Linked DNA regions of Drosophila melanogaster. The protein of the gene in region 1 interacts with the protein of each later gene in a biochemical or structural test. Each region holds a gene or a part of one and is shown in the gene's direction. Other genes may lie near its edges. The genes, in order: polo, Klp10A, nuf and mtrm.

Region 1 (5,897 bases):
AATTCTGCGAGGATATCGGCGTGGAGCCCGAGAATATTGTGATGCTGGTGCTGGCCTACAAAATGGGCGCCACCCAGATGGGCTTCTTCAGCCAGCAGGAGTGGCTAAAGGGCCTCACAGAACTCGACTGCGATTCGGCAGCGAAAATGGTTGTGAAATTGGACTATCTGCGCAGCATACTCAACGATCCCAACTCCTTTAAAAGCATCTACAGATACGCCTACGACTTTGCCAAGGTCAGTAATCCATTTGAATAAACAATGAGCTGCGTTTAATAAGGCTCTGCATATTCCGCAGGACTCGGACCAACGGTGTATGGATATACTCACTGCCAAAGCCATGCTTCAACTACTTTTGGGCAAACATTGGCCTCTGTATCCACAGTTCGCACAGTTTCTAGAGCAATCAAAGTACAAGGCGATCAACAAAGATCAGTGGTGTAATATTCTCGAGTTCTCGCGCACCATTAGCATTGATCTATCAAACTACGATATCGACGGAGCTTGTAAGTAACACAAAGGAGCTAACTAAACTAAACTGAACTATGTATTTCGCAACCGTATTAAAAGAAGCTGATAAATAAGTTAAAATAAGAACTTGAAACGGAGCATTTAGTTACCCCCATCTTTTTGCAGGGCCCGTCATGCTGGATGAGTTTGTTGAATGGCTGCGCCTGCAGCGGAGTCAGGTCACCTCCACAACCGGATCTAGCTGAGAAAAGCTGTATCGAGTCGCCTATTTCTAGTTCAACTTTGGGAGCTCAGTGCGGAGAGGAGTTCGCGGAGACTGAGTCGGAGATGGGATGCGATGCGATGGGATGGGAATGCTGATAAGATAGATCGGCGAAAATTTAAGACATAACCGCAGGACACTCACTGACACCCACACCCACACTCAGATCCACGATCAGATCCACCAGCCACTTCTTCGGCCTAAAACACACAAGCACACACTCACCCACACGGAAACACAAGGCATTTTGGAGAGACTGCGTACACTGGCAAAGCAACCAACTATGAAACTAAACTATTGATAATATATTTAATGTAATAATTTATGTATTAACGACGACAACTAAGAACTAAAACCACATTTTTCTACTTATAAGGCCTCTTTCGCAAACAAAAACAAAACATTAAAATCAGAACAGCAACAAGAGCCAAAACGGGGCAGCTTGTAAGGAGTAATCCCAGAGAACGAAACGATGGCAATAACCAAGAGACCCCAAATAGACCTATTCTAGAACATACAATCCTCCAACCCAAGCGACCCCTTCGAGATATCAGCAGGCATAGTCAAAATCTAAACGGAAATCTACACCAATAGTGGGGTATTCGTAGTCGTTATTAAATCAATGTAGAAAAACAAAATCTGGGGATTATTTAATAAAGTTATTAAGTAAACACATTATTTTTTCTATTTACTTGTGTGTGTTTTAGTGTTGTTTTTTTTTTATCAAAATTATTTTTAACCGTTATTTGAAAGTTTAACTGAAAAACATAGAAGGCTTTGAGATAGCTGTTTCTAATAATTTCTTTTTAACACAAATCAGGATCGAAACCTGCAATTACAAGGTGGCAGTATTTTTACTCAGAAAACGTTTGCAGCAATTCAAATTAGAAAAGGGGCTCTACAATATAAAGTTGACCGTTGACTGTTTAGTAAACTCAATTTATGAAACCCTTTTGAAATTTCAAAAATGTAACGTTAGTTTTTGTAGATTTTCAAATAAATAGCGGTTAAACACAGTGTTGCGCAGAGCAATAGGAAAAAATATTGCGCTCAATTCGAACAGAGTAAACGCCAGTAGGTAAATTCAAAAGGGTAACGGCCATAGAATTTGTTGTTCAACACTCAACAAAATACCGCGATACATACCAGAAAGTGTGCGATAGCCAGCGAAACGGGCACACCAATTCAGCTGACGCTTCACGTCCAATTCATTTTGGCATTTAAAAAATCGAACGGTTTCGGCGCGTTCTCCGCTTTGTGCTTGGTTTTCGTGCATTCGATGGGCAAAACCGAGATTTGATCGCCGCTTCTCTTGTCAACCGTGTGGATCTGATCTCCGTTTCCGAGGCACTTTCAGCCGATCGCCGGTGGAATTATAGGCTCAGAACGAGGAGTATCGCCGCAAAACTCCAGGCGAACGCAAACGCAAAAGGGGCAGTCCGTAGTAAAGAAGAAAGGAGAGCAAGATGGCCGCGAAGCCCGAGGATAAGAGCACGGATATTCCGGATCGCCTCGTCGACATCAACCAGCGGAAAACCTACAAGCGCATGCGGTTCTTCGGCAAGGTGAGTCCGGATGCGGATTTGCAGATGCCCGGGATCAGATCAGTCGAAGGGATCACACATTTACCTACACGCACACATGCACGCACCCGCATACACACATATCCATTTCCACATCCCGGTTTTCGTTCCGTTTTCCTTGCTGATGAGCATTCCCTTGTTGTTTTTGTAGCTCTCTCCTTTAAGAGCAGGAGAGAAAAAGAGAGCCTGTGTGTGGGAATCTTGTACGAGCCTGTGTGTGTGTGTTCATGCAGTTGGCTGCTTGTTCAGTTTTTTTTTTTGGCGCGGCTTCTTCGAATTTACATAGACAAGAAAAGGAACTGTTGCAACTTAGTTGAACCAACAATTTCCTCGTTGTGCTATTGGCATATAAATATTTTCTTGGAAGGGGCTCCGCAGATTGGAGCAAAGGTACTAAACATGTGATTGTTAAATATAAATTACTAATTTTATGTTGCCAACCAATATGGATAAAAAGTTTATACAGAATATGTTTGTAAAATAGACATCAATACGTTTATTAAACGCCATTTACTTGAAAATACCTATATGCAAAGTTTTATCATAGATCTGTTTTTAATACAGTATAAGGTTATGTTTTTGTATAATGTTTTTAAATACAAAATTAATATGCTTTATGCAGGGCGGGTTTGCAAAATGTTACGAGATCATCGATGTGGAAACCGACGACGTCTTCGCCGGCAAGATCGTATCCAAGAAGCTGATGATCAAACACAATCAGAAGGAGAAGACCGCCCAGGAGATAACTATTCACCGCAGCCTTAACCATCCGAACATTGTCAAGTTTCACAACTACTTTGAAGATTCGCAGAATATCTACATTGTGCTGGAGCTGTGCAAGAAAAGAGTGAGTTTAATAGAACATCTCTGCAATATGCCACCATGACACTTACCTCTCCGACTTACAGTCCATGATGGAGCTGCACAAACGTAGGAAAAGCATTACGGAGTTCGAATGCCGCTACTACATTTACCAGATAATCCAGGGCGTTAAGTACTTGCACGATAACCGCATTATCCATCGAGATCTGAAGCTGGGCAATCTCTTCCTCAACGATTTGTTGCACGTGAAGATCGGGGATTTCGGGTTGGCCACGCGCATTGAGTATGAGGGCGAGCGAAAAAAGACCTTATGCGGAACGCCCAACTATATAGCCCCGGAGATCCTCACCAAGAAGGGCCACTCCTTCGAGGTGGACATCTGGTCGATTGGCTGCGTCATGTACACACTGCTTGTGGGCCAGCCGCCGTTCGAAACCAAGACTCTGAAGGATACGTACTCGAAAATCAAGAAGTGCGAGTACCGCGTGCCCAGCTACTTAAGGAAACCGGCGGCGGATATGGTCATCGCCATGCTGCAGCCAAATCCGGAGAGCCGCCCGGCAATTGGTCAGCTGCTGAACTTTGAGTTCCTCAAGGGCTCAAAGGTGCCCATGTTCTTGCCCAGCTCTTGTCTGACAATGGCGCCGCGTATCGGCAGCAACGACACCATCGAGGATTCGATGCACCGCAAGCCACTGATGGAGATGAACGGCATCAGGCCCGACGACACTCGTCTGGAGTCGACCTTCCTCAAGGCCAATCTGCACGACGCCATTACCGCGTCAGCGCAGGTGTGCCGCCACAGCGAGGACTATCGCAGCGATATCGAGAGCCTGTACCAGCAGCTCACTAATCTTATCAACGGAAAGGTAAGTACCTTTTGCTCTATATTAGTTAAATAATTTAAGACTCTTATACCTCTTCACTTCTTTAGCCGCGAATTCTGCAAGGCAATCTGGGCGACGAGAACACAGATCCTGCAGCGCAGCCGCTCTTCTGGATATCCAAGTGGGTTGACTACAGCGACAAGTACGGATTTGGTTACCAGCTGTGCGATGAGGGCATCGGCGTGATGTTCAACGACACCACAAAGCTGATCCTGCTGCCGAATCAGATCAACGTACACTTCATCGACAAGGATGGCAAGGAGACGTACATGACCACCACGGATTACTGCAAGTCGCTTGACAAGAAGATGAAGCTGCTGTCGTACTTTAAGCGCTACATGATCGAGCACCTGGTGAAGGCAGGTGCCAACAATGTGAACATTGAGAGCGATCAAATCTCGCGTATGCCCCATTTACACTCCTGGTTCCGTACAACATGTGCCGTAGTTATGCATTTGACCAACGGTTCTGTGCAGGTTTGTATAATTGTACAGCATCGGCATCATGTACATCTGGTCCTAATGAACTATCTATCCTTCTTAGCTAAACTTCTCAGATCACATGAAGCTCATCCTCTGCCCGCGCATGAGTGCTATAACCTATATGGACCAGGAGAAGAACTTCCGCACCTACCGATTTTCGACCATTGTGGAGAACGGCGTGTCTAAAGACTTGTACCAGAAGATCCGATATGCCCAGGAGAAACTTAGGAAAATGCTGGAGAAGATGTTCACATAAGCGTAGCCAGCCCAACTATCATTATAAGGCCGAATGTTAGTTTAACGTAATTCACGAATGCCCTGGCCAACTTCATTTATAGCCCAGAAAGTATCCTCCTCTCCCATCATCTTTTAAAATTGTAGTTCCCGTTCAAATTGATTTGTTCGATGTTTATAGAATTTATTTGTTTTTGCCCCTTCCCCTTCATATCGAAAATACTGCTTAAGTTATATTCATCGTCAGTGTTGGGCCTCCCTCAAAAGTAATTTAATATATCTGTTTAATGGTTTTCGTACACGATCCGATCACTTAATGCATTTTAAAGAGATCAAATTAAATGTTTAAACTAAGCAAACGTGTTTCGAAATGCCTATATTCACCGAGGTGACTGATAACAAAATTTTAATGCTGGATACATTATAAAAGTAATAGTGTAATATTGTGCGTTCGTAGTGCGCTATAGCGCCATTTAAAATAATACATAAGTTACAATACTGCTGCAAAGTGTTTAAGTGTACAAGTATATTCAACTTTGGCCAGAAATATCTGTAGCTATAGGATACAATATGTAAATGCTTTTGAACTAAAAGCGAATATATATAAAATTTAATAAAATATCTGAAAAAAGATTGTTTGCAACGTTTAGGGCAGCTGTTCTTAAAATGCACCTGCCAGACTGTAGGTGACGCATTCAGGCGGCTGAGAATTATTTTGAACGAACAAACGTTACAGCCCTTGCATTTCACAACACTGGCATGAGTTATTTGAGAATGCTGTGAGATGGTAACACTGGCACCACTTCTGCGGTCACACCAAGTCAGCATATTGATTTTATTTTCTCGAAAAAAGATCCCAATACGTACACACACTCGCTGAAAAGCCGAACAAGTCTTAAACTTAGATGCAATTAGTGCCGAGGCGGACATAAATCCTCGACATGGGTGACAACGAACAGAAGGCGCTCCAGCTGATGGCCGAGGCGGAGAAGAAGTTGACCCAGCAGAAGGGCTTTCTGGGATCGCTGTTCGGGTGCGTATCAAATCAAAGAAGTTTCGCAATTTCTGTGGGAGTGGGGAAATGGAGCTGTGTCTGGTCTAGCCTAGCATCTCCACAACCCCACAAGGTACTGAGCCCTATTCCAAATAGCACTTGG
Region 2 (4,948 bases), on another chromosome or scaffold:
TTGCTATATGTCCGTGTTTTTTTTTGTTTTTTTTGTTTGGGGGTAATTAACCTAGATGAGGCCGATCCTCGCCTCCTGGTCCATTTCACTCCGGGGTCGCCAGCTGCGGCGCCAGCGACTCCTCCTCTCATTGGCGCGCCGCACGCTCCGTTTCCATGAGGCATTCGCGCACCAGGATGCGGGCATGGACAATGCCCCGCTTGAGACGCTCCGTGGAGCTGCGCGAGCCCGTGTACGTGGGCCGGATATCGCGGCCCATCTCCTCAATGACGGCCAGCAGCTGGGCGTACTTGGTCAGCCCATTGCCCGGGCCCACTGAGGGCAGGCTGGCCGTGGAGGTCAGCGGCGTGGTGATATTGGCCGAAGTTTGGGTGGTCACCACCACGGGCGAGGTGGAGGGTGGCGGGTACTTTAGCTGCGATGAGCTCAGATTCAGGCCCATGCTCTGGCCATTGCTGCCAGAGGAGGTGGAGGAAACGCCGGCACCGGAATTCCGCTGACCACCATTGCTGGAGCACATGTTGGCCAGCGAGAGGGCCGCAGCGGCGACGGCTGCCGGCGTGGCCGTCGTGTTCGACTGCTGCTGGAGTAGCGCCAGCTGGGCCTGGAGGAACTGCGGGGAGTATTGGAGGGCAGCGACGGCGGCGGCAGCTGCTGCTGCATTGGCCGCTGCAGCGGAGCTCTGCTTGCTGGACGAGCTGCTGTAGTCGCTGGCGGAGGAGCGGTCCCGCTCCCGCTTGCCACCGCTGCTCGTGGAGTAGTCGGTGGCAGCGTTGGATGAGTTGGATCCGCCTCCTCCGCCAACGGATCCACGCGAGTGGTGGATGGCCGATATCTGGATTTGGGGCTGCTGCTCGCGCTGCTCCCGCTGCTGCTGGTAATTGTAGAAATTCTGCACTTGGCTGCGCGGTATCGGTGTCACCGTGACGTCACTCAGCTTGGACTCTACGGCCTGGATATCCATGATGTCCATGGTGGCGCTGGGCGATGTGGTGTCTGGAGTCGATATCCGTCGGTTGTTGTGGTAACTTAACTATGTCCACCTTTCCGTTTTCCTGGCACACAAAACTACTAGTTTTTAGCGTTTCTTTTTTGGTTTATTGTTTTTTGTGATATGATATCGATATCGATATCAGGAGGCGTTATTACGCTTTCCCTTCAACGCACAAACAAATACACCCCCACCAACAAAAGTCGATGGTTCGGATTATAGTATCGATAGACAAGCGCGATGCAAAGTGCCCACCTATTCGCGTCTCGAATGTGGGTGTTTCCACTGTACAAGCAATTTGTATACATGTGGAAAGCTCTTTGTCCAAATTGGTAAATGGCTAAATGTTTTTGAAAAAAAGATAATTAACAACCATAAAACTACAAGAAAATTACAAAATTTAACCCAAGTGCATATGTATACATGAATGACAAAACGGTAAAACCATGCAAATGAATAACCATCCACGTCGAATAATACCTAGTTCACCCTGATAAGGCACTCCCAATTTGTCTTATTAAACAGCTAATTTTGTTAGGGCTTAAAAATACCCAACGTTATGTATGTCTAGTGTTGTCTAGTTTCGGGGGGCGGAAAAGCCAATTGCACACAAATATACAAAGTATTGCCGAAACGTTGATTCTTTCAATAAATAAGGCACATTTTAATGAACTTATGCTTATGCCAACAAAAGCGGTCGCTTATTTTTATTACTTATTGATATAAATTCCAAAACAGCTGACATTTTTAACGGTTACTTTGCCTAGTGTTGGCCAAGACATCAATCTTAATAATAAACTCTCAAGTTGTCAAAATTATACTTGTATTTCTACTAAAAAGTCATAAATATACCCAAAAACTACTTAGCCAATAGTAACCCTGCTTAATATGGATTTTATTCACTTATTAACACGCCAATTGTCTCACTTTTCAAACACAACGGCTGATTGCCAGCACTGTTTGCGCTGCAGTCCAGTGCTGCGCAACGCGGCGGGGACAAAAAACAATGGCGAGGCGAAACTAAAAAATTGTGTTGCTGACATCTGGTCGCTTGCAAAACTATTTCTAGCAGATTTTGTGATATTTCGTTGTGATCGGTCGATAAATCCGCCAGTTTTTTTTTTAATGGAAAGTGCTAACACATTGTAGCGGTTGGGAAGATAGCAGGAAAGGTGAGCGAAAGGCAGAAGATTGCGAAAAATTCAATTAAATTTCCGCGACCGTCTGTTTTCTGCATCGGTGTGTGTTTGTGTTTGCTCGCAAGTGTGTGTGGGTGCTCTGTGTATGACGTAAAGCGATAAAGCAAACGCATTCCCCCCACTCCTTGCATATGTGTGTGTGTGCAAGTGTTGTGTTTCTCTCTCATCAGTTTTGCATCTAATTAGGAGCGGAAAGCATTGATTGGCTGCCAAACGCCGCGGTTTGTTGTTTTTTTCGCTGCATTTCGGCCAAAAGGCTTGCCGCAGCTGCATATGTGTCGCTATGTGTGTGTCAGTGTTGCACAGTGCCGCCAGTGCCCACAAAATGGGCGCACAACAACAAAAGCAGCAACTCGGTTGGGATTTTCGCGATCCTACGCTGGCTCGGAGCTCCCCTTTTCCTATTTCCAATTCCCAGCCAGCGGGCTGCCGTTTTTCCTTTTTGTTATCCGTTGCCAGACGCAACGAAAACGACAGTTGGCATTTGAATTCAGCACAAACACACATACTAACGCCGACCCGCAAGCAGCACACACACACACACTGGGACACTCGAAAAAAAAAAAACAGACGCTGTCGGCGACCTCGACAAGCAGTTGGGTTCGATTTAGTTGTCAATGCCTTGAATTCGGTTCGGGGCTTAGTTTCCACAAGTTTATCGCTCGTCAAGAAACAACGAAATAAAATTATTTTCGACCTAAAAAATCTGACTAAATTGTGTTTTTTGTTTATGTATTTATTTAGGCACATTTTGCACACCACAACGTAGTTACTACATCTACGACTAACGGAACTCCTCCTGCAAGCAGTGGAAGTTGCTGTCCATCAAGCAGTACTCGGAGTTAACGCAGGATAAGCCGGGAGAAAGAGAAAGAGATCGGTGGAGAATAGAGATATACAGGTGGAGTCAAAGAGGAAGGATCATGGACATGATTACGGTGGGGCAGAGCGTCAAGATCAAGCGGACGGATGGCCGCGTCCACATGGCCGTGGTGGCGGTGATCAACCAGTCGGGCAAGTGCATCACAGTCGAATGGTACGAGCGCGGCGAAACGAAGGGCAAGGAGGTAGAACTGGACGCCATACTCACGCTCAATCCGGAGCTAATGCAAGATACTGTCGAACAGCACGCCGCCCCGGAGCCCAAGAAACAAGCCACCGCGCCGATGAACCTCTCGCGTAATCCCACACAATCGGCTATCGGTGGCAATCTCACCAGCCGTATGACCATGGCCGGAAACATGCTGAACAAGATCCAGGAAAGCCAGTCGATTCCCAATCCGATTGTCAGCAGCAATAGCGTGAATACAAACAGCAACTCCAACACTACGGCCGGCGGAGGTGGTGGCACCACAACGTCGACGACCACTGGATTACAGCGTCCACGGTACTCGCAAGCTGCTACCGGCCAGCAGCAGACAAGGATCGCCTCGGCGGTGCCTAATAACACATTGCCCAATCCCAGCGCGGCAGCCAGTGCTGGTCCGGCGGCACAAGGAGTCGCCACTGCGGCCACAACCCAGGGAGCTGGCGGCGCTAGTACCCGGCGATCGCACGCATTGAAAGAGGTGGAGCGACTGAAGGAGAATCGCGAGAAGCGACGCGCCCGACAGGCCGAGATGAAGGAGGAGAAGGTGGCGCTGATGAACCAGGATCCGGGCAATCCAAACTGGGAGACGGCGCAAATGATACGCGAATATCAGAGCACGCTGGAATTTGTGCCGCTGCTCGATGGCCAGGCCGTCGATGACCATCAGATCACAGTGTGCGTGCGCAAGCGTCCCATTAGCCGCAAGGAGGTCAATCGCAAGGAGATCGATGTCATTTCGGTGCCGCGCAAGGACATGCTCATCGTGCACGAGCCGCGCAGCAAGGTCGACCTCACCAAGTTCCTGGAGAACCACAAGTTTCGCTTCGACTACGCCTTCAACGACACGTGCGACAATGCCATGGTATACAAGTGAGTATCCAATCCAAATAACAAGCTCCAAAACAACTCCATATATGGTCTGTTTGAATTACTAGTAGTGATTCTAAACAAACGCTCGATATGGTGACCACACATTCCAATGTCTTGGGGAGGCTTCTTCAATTACTAATGCGTATCCTTGCTAGCAAACGGCTTTATTTCAATTGAACTGAACTATAGAAAATCTTATTTCGTTATAGATGACCCTCTATAGCTATCATTCAATCTTAAACCTAATTTGTTGATGCAGTGGAATCATATATAGTATAAAGCAGCATATCCTTTAAAGAAATCATTGCCCCATTTATCAGATTTCCATCGAGTAACCAAATGTGCCAGTCACTTTTCGAGCTCGTTTCGTTGGCGCATCTCTGTTAGAGCGACCCATTGAGTCATGCCGACAGAGACGGCAACAGAGCCACACACATGCATCATGAAAGCGGTTGCTCCCGAAATAGCCAAGTTCGTTGAATGACTAACTTGGAAGCCCCAGACGCTTCACCTGCCCCCGCCCGGCCACTCCGTCCGCCGATCTGCACACGAGCTCTCTAAACCCAATTCTCCAGCGGAAGAGATTTCGAAAAAGTAACTGCCTTGTGGCCCGGCATTTGTCCATTAGCAATTGTTTGGCTTCAATTGAATTAAAGCTGCTACGGCTGCTGCTGCCCCTTTCCTTTCTCCGCCAACTTCTTGCTTAGCTTCTCTTTCCGGTTTTCGCACTCGTATGTATTGTGTGGCTGTCGGGAATTGGTAATGCCATTAGTTGCGTCACGGCAATCGCTTAAGTAT
Region 3 (4,946 bases), 6.1 Mb from region 1:
AAATAAATATTGACTATTTTTTTTGCCTAATTATACAAACATACACTCATCGCGTGGATGGATATATAAAGTTTGTACACAACTGCAAATGAAAGGTAAATATAGCCGGCTTTAAAAGTATCTGTGAGTTTTGCGTTGATTAAGGCGGCGGTTAAACAAATTAGAAGAGTAAATAAGGTCTGTAAGATTAGACACGGATAAAGGTATTTTAAGGACAATATTACCTTAAAATATCCAAATATACCGATCATTTGCAATGTATTAAAAATTGTGGAAGCCAAAGCAGGCATTTTTTTTTGCTACTGGATTTTATAAAGAAGGCTGTGAAATGAATTTCAACGAGCCCTTACTTCAGATCCCTGACTAGCCCAGAATATTCGTCAGTTCAGTTCCAGCTGTTCTACTGTACGGTTCTCTTGAAAGTCGTTACTTTTTTTTATCATAAAGCTGACACCACCAAGTTATCCGGTAAATATATTTCTTGTTTTTGAACAAGGCATCGTTCGATTTTAAACCTAATAGATCTGGCTTTTCTCCGAAAATTTTCGGCATCTGCGAAGATGTCGTTGCCACGCGTTTACTTCGATATAGCCGCAGGAGGTGAGAAGTTAGGTAGAATTGTGATGGAACTACGTTCGGATGTGGTGCCCAAGACGGCGGAGAATTTCCGGGCCCTCTGCACCGGAGAGAAGGGGTACGGCTACAAGGGATCACCATTCCACCGCGTCATCCCGAATTTCATGTGTCAGGGCGGTGATTTCACTAATCAAAACGGAACTGGAGGACGCTCCATTTATGGAAACAAGTTTCCCGATGAGAATTTCGAGCTAAAGCATACCGGAGCTGGTGTACTTTCGATGGCCAATGCTGGGGCCAATACCAATGGATCTCAGTTTTTCATTTGCACCGGGAAAACCACATGGCTGGATAATAAGCATGTCGTGTTCGGCAAGGTCGTTGAGGGAATGGATATCGTCCAGAAGGTAGAATCTTACGGTTCACAAGATGGGAAGACCAGCAAGAAAGTAATTATCGAAGACTGCGGAGCCCTCTGAAGGGTGTCAATACATAATAGTGCTGTCAATCACACATTTACACTATTACACTGAAATTATACTTTTCAAGAAAACTTTGCAAAATAAAAGGGGGTGCAAAAAAATGTATTTTGTCGGTTCAACTATTTACATCGCTCTCATATGTTACGCATTTCAGACCAATTCGTTGAATAATCCGGTGCACCCTGAACAGCCCAGTTCCCTGACTCATTTTCCTTTGATTTTTCTTTCCATTACTTTTAATTGACTCAATTTAGTTCAAGAGTTGCTCACATATGTCGCTTTTGATTCTTTCCACTCGATTCTCATTCTGTCTCCCATCACCTTTCCCTCAAGCCATTCTATCCACTTTACCCGAATGCACTTTGCAAATGTCTATTAAGTCACATACACTGATGAAAAAAAAGAATTAACCACCAGTAATACATATGTATATGTTTGGTAAAGTGCACTTTACTAAATACATTCAAAAACTCAAATTGAATCCATTATTTTTTAAATATATTCTGCAATATAAGTTTTGTTTAAACAAATATTATATTTGGAAGTTAGTATTTCTTTTCAAACCTAAAAACACCTGGCTAACTATGTTATACAATGTGTATATGTGTATGTGCATATAAGCCACTCAGCAAACAAAATTTTCTTTTCTCAAGTGCATGTAATACGAATTTCCAACACTGCTAAGTCACATTAGTGGAATTTTTCTATTGCGTTCGTTTTGCTTTGGGGCTCTGTTTTTTTGTATTTCTTTTCGTTATTTTTTCGGGCACCCAAAACAAGTCGCGGCTTCTGCCGACGTCGACCGAGGCAGCGGCAGAGGAGGGGCCGCGACTTGGCGCTGGCTTTTCAGCGCTTTCCTCTCTCAGATTGCATTTAACGCTTGCCGCGTTCACAACACTAGAAAAGCGGAGCAGCGCATCGAACGGTCGCCCTGTCTCTCACTCTCTCGCGCTCTCTCGCGCGGGTGTTTTGTTGTTGGGCAATGCAATTGCCAAGGAAAAGGAAAATGCAGCTGCTGCTGCTGCTCTCCTAAGCAAAATAGCCAAATTAAAAAAGGTTCGAAATTCGAGAAAATTAACCCAAAGTTACCTCAATTCGTGTGTTTTTTGTGTGTTACCTATTATCGATCGAATTCGCTTATCAGCTGTGTCAGGTGCCTTTGGCTCATTAACCGCTTATTTAAGGAAAAATGTGAAATCAAAACAAATTCGTTAATGACAGGGTCTGTTGTGAAAACCCGTAATCAAAGTAGCCTTGTTCGGCTCATGTTTCTAATTTTCATACCCTCTGGCAAATATATTGGTTGATTGATCTTAAATTGAAAAGTGCGGTTGAATCAGTTTGCCAAGTGTTTTATCGAAACATAAAAAATGGAAATCAAGTGTGGCATAAAATTGATAAATGATACAATAAATGGGACAAAATGAAAGAAAAAATAAAATAGCTTTAAACAATTCAAAGCAATTCTTCGTTATGGGGCGTTAAAAGTTGAAAAAACACTGACGGTAATTGATGAAGTAAAACGAAGAAAGATAAGGTGATCAAATTTGCAAAACCGGCACAATGTAAATTAATTGTGCTTTTTGTGTTGATTTTTTTTATTATTAATGGAGACAAGTTTAAGTATTTTCTTAAAAAGTTTAGTAAACTTAGGAAGATGAAAAAAAAAAAATAATATTGCCTCTTTAAAAATCAAGTCTTGTTTTCATTGCTTTCGGCAGTTTCTACATTCAAAGGGAATTAAATAAATCAAGGGCTTCCACCGAGAATAACGCATAGCAGTTCCAAGTTCATTCATTATACATAACTCGTACTTCTTAATTTCTTTTACTAGGCATTTTCCGTACCGTTAAGTTTGGTAGGAAAATATTCTTTCATTAGCGATGGTTCGTCAATTAGTAGGCATATAAATCTAACGGCACAGTGCCCTAACAGCACAGAAGACAACTAACCGGAACTGAAAACTAGCACTAAAAACCAATAAGTAAAAGGCCTAAGGTAGCCGCAATAACAAAAGAACGGAAAAGACCCTCTGATGACATCAACAAAAAGGGGGTGTACGAAAGAGATGGGACGAAATGGATGGAGATTACCATCCAATCCCGCATGCGTCCCGTTACTCTTGCTTTTCGGTTCGTGTCCACGCTTATTCACTTGCGCTTTTATTTAGTAATGAGTAAAACATATACATACATACGTATGTATGCATATATGAACATATGATGGGAGGCATTTTGGGAGCGGTTGGCTTGGGGTGACCGTATATAAATTCCACATAATTATGCGCTGTCCCTGACTCAAAAACCATATGTTCAAAATAAAGGAGGCGGGCGGATTCGGCGAGAGAATCACCCTCGGACATATGGCGAAAAACTTTTCCTTTGGGGGATCGGATCGCTCTCTTTCTTCGGTCCCTTGTCATTGCTCTTGTTTGTTGATTATTATTTTTTCCTATTTATAAAGATTGCGCCTCCCCAAATTCGCTCTCCCAGTCTCTCATTTTTCTCTCTATCGCTGGCGACTGCCTCGGTTTATTTTGCCCCTGAATTTCTGGTTCATTCAGTTTGCTTTTCGCGTTTCGCGTGCTTTAATCGAAATTTGTTTTTCTCCCTCGATTGTGGTTGTAATAAAATACATAATACACCATTTTAAATAATCGAAAAAATTAGCTATTCACTTTTAAAATTGAAAAATATTTGTGAGATCGCGGCACAGATTATTGAAGATCATAAAATCGGCAGGAAAATTAAAAATATTTTAAAGGATTGCATCATTAGTTTTTGGTTCTTTTAAGCAAAAGCTTTCAAGAAAGTTATAGAATACATAATAGTACATTAAAAATAATCAATGACAATTTTTTTTCAAGTTCTTATGTATATGATTCCCATATAATTGATGCAAAGTCTTTAAATATACATTTGTTTGAAATCATGAATATTTTATGTGGTACTCAGCATTCCTGATCCAATTTCGGCTAATCATTGTATATTTTACAACCTTTTTGTTGTAACTTGTTCACTTCACTTTGTTGCATGAAAAGTGCACAGCAGCGAAGTAAAATTTGCATTTAATGAGCTCCCCTCGTTCGACTCATCCCCATTTTCACCCCTTCCTTCGTCGACCATTGTATGCAAATCTTTGTGGAATTCAATTTTGCTGAAGAGTAGCTAATGATAATTTTCTATTATGCTGTTTTTGATTGCCTGACATGGGCGAGGAAAAAATGGTTGAAGAGATATGATAATCCAAAAATATTCAGCTGACAAGAAAGGAAAGTTTACTTCATTAGCAAATTAGTTTTAGTTGAATTGAAATCAGATTATTCGGTTACTTACTGTACTTGTATTGAAGGAATTGGATTGTATTTTGATAAGGGTTTCCAAATCATTTGTAATAAAGTTGTATTTTATTTATTTGAATGCTTATTTCGTAAATCAACTTGGAATCATTCAAAGCAAATAAAGTTCTTTAAAAAGTAAAATCTTTATCAGTCATGCCCTGCTTTTAATTGGCCCTCATATTGACCTTTATTTAAATTTGTATGTGATAACGTGAAAATGAAGCTTTGACAAGGGCACCTTAACTATACACGTCGCCGAACGATTTGATAAGACTAAGAATGATTCAGTTTACTAGACTACAAAAGTAAACAGCACGCCACAAATTCCAAGTAAAAGAAAAGCAAACTTAGCCAGCCATTGCATTTTCTGGTAATTAGAAACTAGGCGGGAATTCAAAACCTGAGGAACAAAATAACAATGAAAATAGGGAGAGGTTGGAAAATAGCTGTACGACGAGGATATGTAAAATTGTCTAGAATTCTGCTCAAAGTCTGAACAAAATAATTTTACGGTCTGTTGGTTCTAAAAAAAAAAGAAGAAGTAAAGA
Region 4 (3,495 bases), about 12 Mb from region 1:
GACCACACGATGACCATTTTATCGGAGGCTCCGCTGGCGAACCGCTTGCCATCCCGCGAGTAGGCCACACAATTGACCGTATCCTTGTGCGCCTTCAAGGTGTTCAGCAAGGAGCCATCGTTTGGATCGTAGATGAGCAACCGATCCCCCGCAGCCACCACCAATTGGCTGCCATCGGGTGCGTAGCACACATTGTGGACACTGGAAAATTGGGTTTTGCAAATACCGTTATGGCGTTATAGCAAGCAACAGGTTGTTGTTTTCCACGAATGAGAAAGCTTTACCTGATCTCATTGTCTTTGCTATTGGGAAACTCTATGCGTTCCAGCCACTTGAGAACACCCCTCATTGTTGCAGAAGTCGAATTGGCTAATCCTGCATAGTTGGTAGAAATTCCTAAATGCAGGTGCGTTGTTTACACACAGATTCCATGGCAACCAACCACAACAAAAGTTGGCGTCTTGGCTGGAGATGGCAGTTTGGCGGGTTTTTCCGTTAGTTTTGGCTTTTAAAACTAGGACTTGACTAATAAACTAGTACTAGTAGTAAAAACAATTTATTTAAAACATAGCCTCATTATCGTTTACCTAATTGTCTAAGTGTACAATATTTAAAAAAAGTTTCTATTACTATCTGAAATGACCGTTATAATTTTTTTTTTCGTGCAAAGTAGTTGGCAACGCGGTAATTGACAGTATGACCAAAGCCAGTGTGCATAAATGCCTAGTTTCGTCAAAACAAAATAAAATAGAATTGTTTTTTATATCAGAACTATTGTTTGTTTTTAAAGGATTTTAGCTACATATACGCTTGAAAATGAACAATTTGGACAGTTCATTGCAGGCGCACAATAAATTGGAGAAGGTATGTCTAGTTGTCATGCTCAAAACCTCCATACTTACCCATTTTCCTCATAGGAAGCCACCAATTTAGCTCTGCTGAAAGATCGAGTGGATAAATACCATGATCTGTCCACGCAAATGTCCAGTATTCTAACAATCTTCGAGAAGCGCCTGGGAAACCTGGAGCAGACCATATTGCCCGTCTACCAGGAGACGGAGCAGCTCCAGAAACGGCAGCAGAGTATGAAAATAAACTCAATGGGATTTCAAAAAAAAAAAACTAATGTGTCACCGCCTCTTTTTTTTTTTAGATCTGGAAGCTACTCTCAATTGTCTGGAAAGCGTCCTGTCCCACTACGATGTCTCCCAAGAGGTCTGCCAGTTGATTCATCAAGGCCCGGTGGAGGGAAACATCTCGGTGTTCCTCGACGCACTAGCCAAACTGCGCGATGCCAACGATTACTTCCGGCACAACAATTCCCAGAGCGTGGAGCTGGAGAATGTCACCAGTTTGTTTAACACCGGCTGCGAAGGCCTGAGTCAGCACTATAGTATGCTCCTCAAGAAGCACAGTGCTCCGCTGAAGCCGGTGGAGTTGCTGGATCTTATCTACATAGAGGACGATTCCAGCGATGAATACACCTCATTCCGGCAGCTTTCGCAAACGACGCGCGAGGAGCTGTACACCATATCGCACTGGTTGGAGCAAAATTTAAGGGAGTACACAAACATCTACGCGACGGAACGGGGCGAAGTGGTTCTCCGATCGCTGCAGCTGCTCAAGGATCACCAAAAGAGCAACAGTTGGGGTCACGAGGCTCTGGTGAGTAAACAGTTCTTTCATATTCTAACTAGTATTAATACATATATATTATGTGGAGAAAAATAGTACGTAGTAGAATATGAATAGCGATGTGTACGATGATGAGCATATGTATGCTTTTCCCATCTCTGATCGTTTCGGTTAACGGTGTCTGTTCGAAAAAGCTTGTGCATGTAAGCATTACATGTCCAATTCGATGACCGCCATTTGCCAGCTTGAATTCGCAAAGAACGCATCATTTTCTGTGTCACAGTATCTAAAAAAAATGGAGAATTCTCGCACGCCCACGAACAAGACCAAAATTACGCTTAATCGCACGCCAACGCTAAAGGAGCGCAGATGGAACACCCTGAAGGTGAACACCTCCAACGTGCGATGCTCTACTCCGATCTTTGGCAACTTCCGTTCGCCCAATCTCTCGCCCATCGAGAATATGGGCACGAAGGGGAAGAGTCCAGTGTCGCCCATGCGGTTCGCTACCTTCAAGAAAGTGCCAACGAAGGTGCATCCCAAGCAGCAGCAGCAGCAGCAGCATCAGCACTGCCATCGCACTCAGCTTAAGCCCCCGCCATTCGTGCTGCCCAAGCCGCAGGAGGAGATCATCGAGCCGGAGCGAGAAATAAAGAGCTGCAGCAGCCCGGATACCTGTTCGGATGACTCGAATATGGAGACCTCACTGGCCTTGGAGTCGCGTCGTCGTTCCATCAAAGCATCGAACCACTCGTACGTGGTTAACCATGCCGCCAATGTGGAACAGATTCTCATGCACATGGGCCTGGAGAACTATGTGACCAATTTCGAAGAGGCTCACATCGATCTGGTGGAACTGGCATCCTTGGAGCGTGCTGATCTTGTTAAAATCGGCCTAAATACCGATGAGGATTGCAACCGTATCATGGATGTGCTCCACACTCTTTAAGTGAATCGCTGGCATGTCCATCTTTTATCATACACTAAGATTTTAAAATGTTTTATGTGAAGAGAAACTTTGTGATTTTAATATATGTGGATAATTAAGTAGGTATTCTAGAATTATTGTAAAAGACCTGGTGTCTTAAAGCTCGTCGTTTTTAGCCTTAAATAATAAACTCTAGTACACTTTAAGAATCTATGTAATTCCTAAAATGTTGCTCCGAAGCTCATTTACAAATTTAAATTTATTTCGTAAGCTAGCAAATTGCATAATACTTTTTGTCAAAAAAAAAAAAAAAAATTGGGGTATAAACGCTTTTGTAAAACACACATTTTTAAAATTAATAAACTCATAAGAATCAAATGCATATTAAAAGGTTACAAAAATAAGAGTTTTTAATTTGCTACCATTTTAGTACCTTAATTATTCCGAAGAAACATTAATGCAATGGCAATTAACAATTCAAATTAATGTTTTTAAAATGTTTTCTTGCAGAGACCGCGACACAGTGGACGCCAAACGGAGCCAAAAAAGACAACCTCCGCTCGTCTTCAGCAAATGTGAGAAATATTACTTAATTTCCAAGTTTTCGTATATGATATATTTAATTTATTCTGCATAGATTCGAAAAGAAGGCGAACAAGTTATATTTACGCGCGACGCAGACGATTGAGCAGTCCACAGGGTTCTCCATTAAGAAGGCATCATCGCACAGCGACCACCTGACCTCCGAGGATTTGATGGATGGCGATCAGGAACTGGACAAGTATCTGGTCATGTTGCTGGGACTGCAGCGGTTACTTAACTGGGAGCGAGCCATCATGATCGACATTATTCCCCAGTCGAAACACAACGAGGTATTCGCCACCTTGGCCTATAATGCCATCGATCTGGTGGTTAAGGACGCTGAGGCCATT

Evidence for each region.
Region 2: of the proteins of polo (region 1) and Klp10A, one has a biochemical effect on the other in vitro, tested with the Drosophila melanogaster proteins (one study listed by BioGRID).
Region 3: of the proteins of polo (region 1) and nuf, one has a biochemical effect on the other in vitro, tested with the Drosophila melanogaster proteins (one study listed by BioGRID).
Region 4: the proteins of polo (region 1) and mtrm form a complex in vitro, tested with the Drosophila melanogaster proteins (one study listed by BioGRID).

Annotation. Positions count from the first base shown.
Region 1 is NT_037436.4:20,308,112-20,314,008, forward strand, and holds polo (polo), read left to right. Parts: upstream 1-1,542; 5' UTR 1,543-2,198; coding exon 2,199-2,297; intron 2,298-2,937; coding exon 2,938-3,162; intron 3,163-3,223; coding exon 3,224-4,006; intron 4,007-4,071; coding exon 4,072-4,500; intron 4,501-4,567; coding exon 4,568-4,762; 3' UTR 4,763-5,355; downstream 5,356-5,897. Other genes in the region: SCCRO4 (squamous cell carcinoma-related oncogene 4), read left to right, coding at 1-236, 298-505, 636-715; alphaSnap (alpha soluble NSF attachment protein), read left to right, coding at 5,682-5,773. UniProt on the Drosophila melanogaster protein: May play a role in regulating both nuclear and cytoplasmic aspects of the mitotic cycle. Regulates localization of the augmin complex during mitosis by ensuring its location on mitotic spindles.
Region 2 is NC_004354.4:11,134,082-11,139,029, reverse strand, and holds the start of Klp10A (Kinesin-like protein at 10A), read left to right. Parts: upstream 1-1,911; 5' UTR 1,912-2,163; intron 2,164-2,251; exon of another isoform or gene 2,252-2,934; 5' UTR 2,935-3,113; coding exon 3,114-4,150; intron 4,151-4,948. Other genes in the region: CDK2AP1 (CDK2-associated protein 1), read right to left, coding at 128-973. UniProt on the Drosophila melanogaster protein: Required during anaphase to drive sister chromatid separation to promote flux by actively depolymerizing kinetochore microtubules at their pole-associated minus ends, thereby moving chromatids through a 'poleward flux'.
Region 3 is NT_037436.4:14,217,823-14,222,768, forward strand, and holds the start of nuf (nuclear fallout), read left to right. Parts: upstream 1-1,919; 5' UTR 1,920-2,114; intron 2,115-3,617; exon of another isoform or gene 3,618-3,678; intron 3,679-4,946. Other genes in the region: CG7768 (uncharacterized protein), read left to right, coding at 561-1,055.
Region 4 is NT_037436.4:8,411,145-8,414,639, forward strand, and holds mtrm (matrimony), read left to right. Parts: upstream 1-1,867; 5' UTR 1,868-1,930; coding exon 1,931-2,584; 3' UTR 2,585-2,959; downstream 2,960-3,495. Other genes in the region: Oseg1 (outer segment 1), read right to left, coding at 1-201, 285-349; Exo70 (exocyst 70), read left to right, coding at 817-864, 918-1,083, 1,154-1,665, 3,074-3,138, 3,201-3,495. UniProt on the Drosophila melanogaster protein: Polo kinase inhibitor required to maintain G2 arrest in the meiotic cell cycle in females. Holds heterochromatically paired homologs together from the end of pachytene until metaphase I.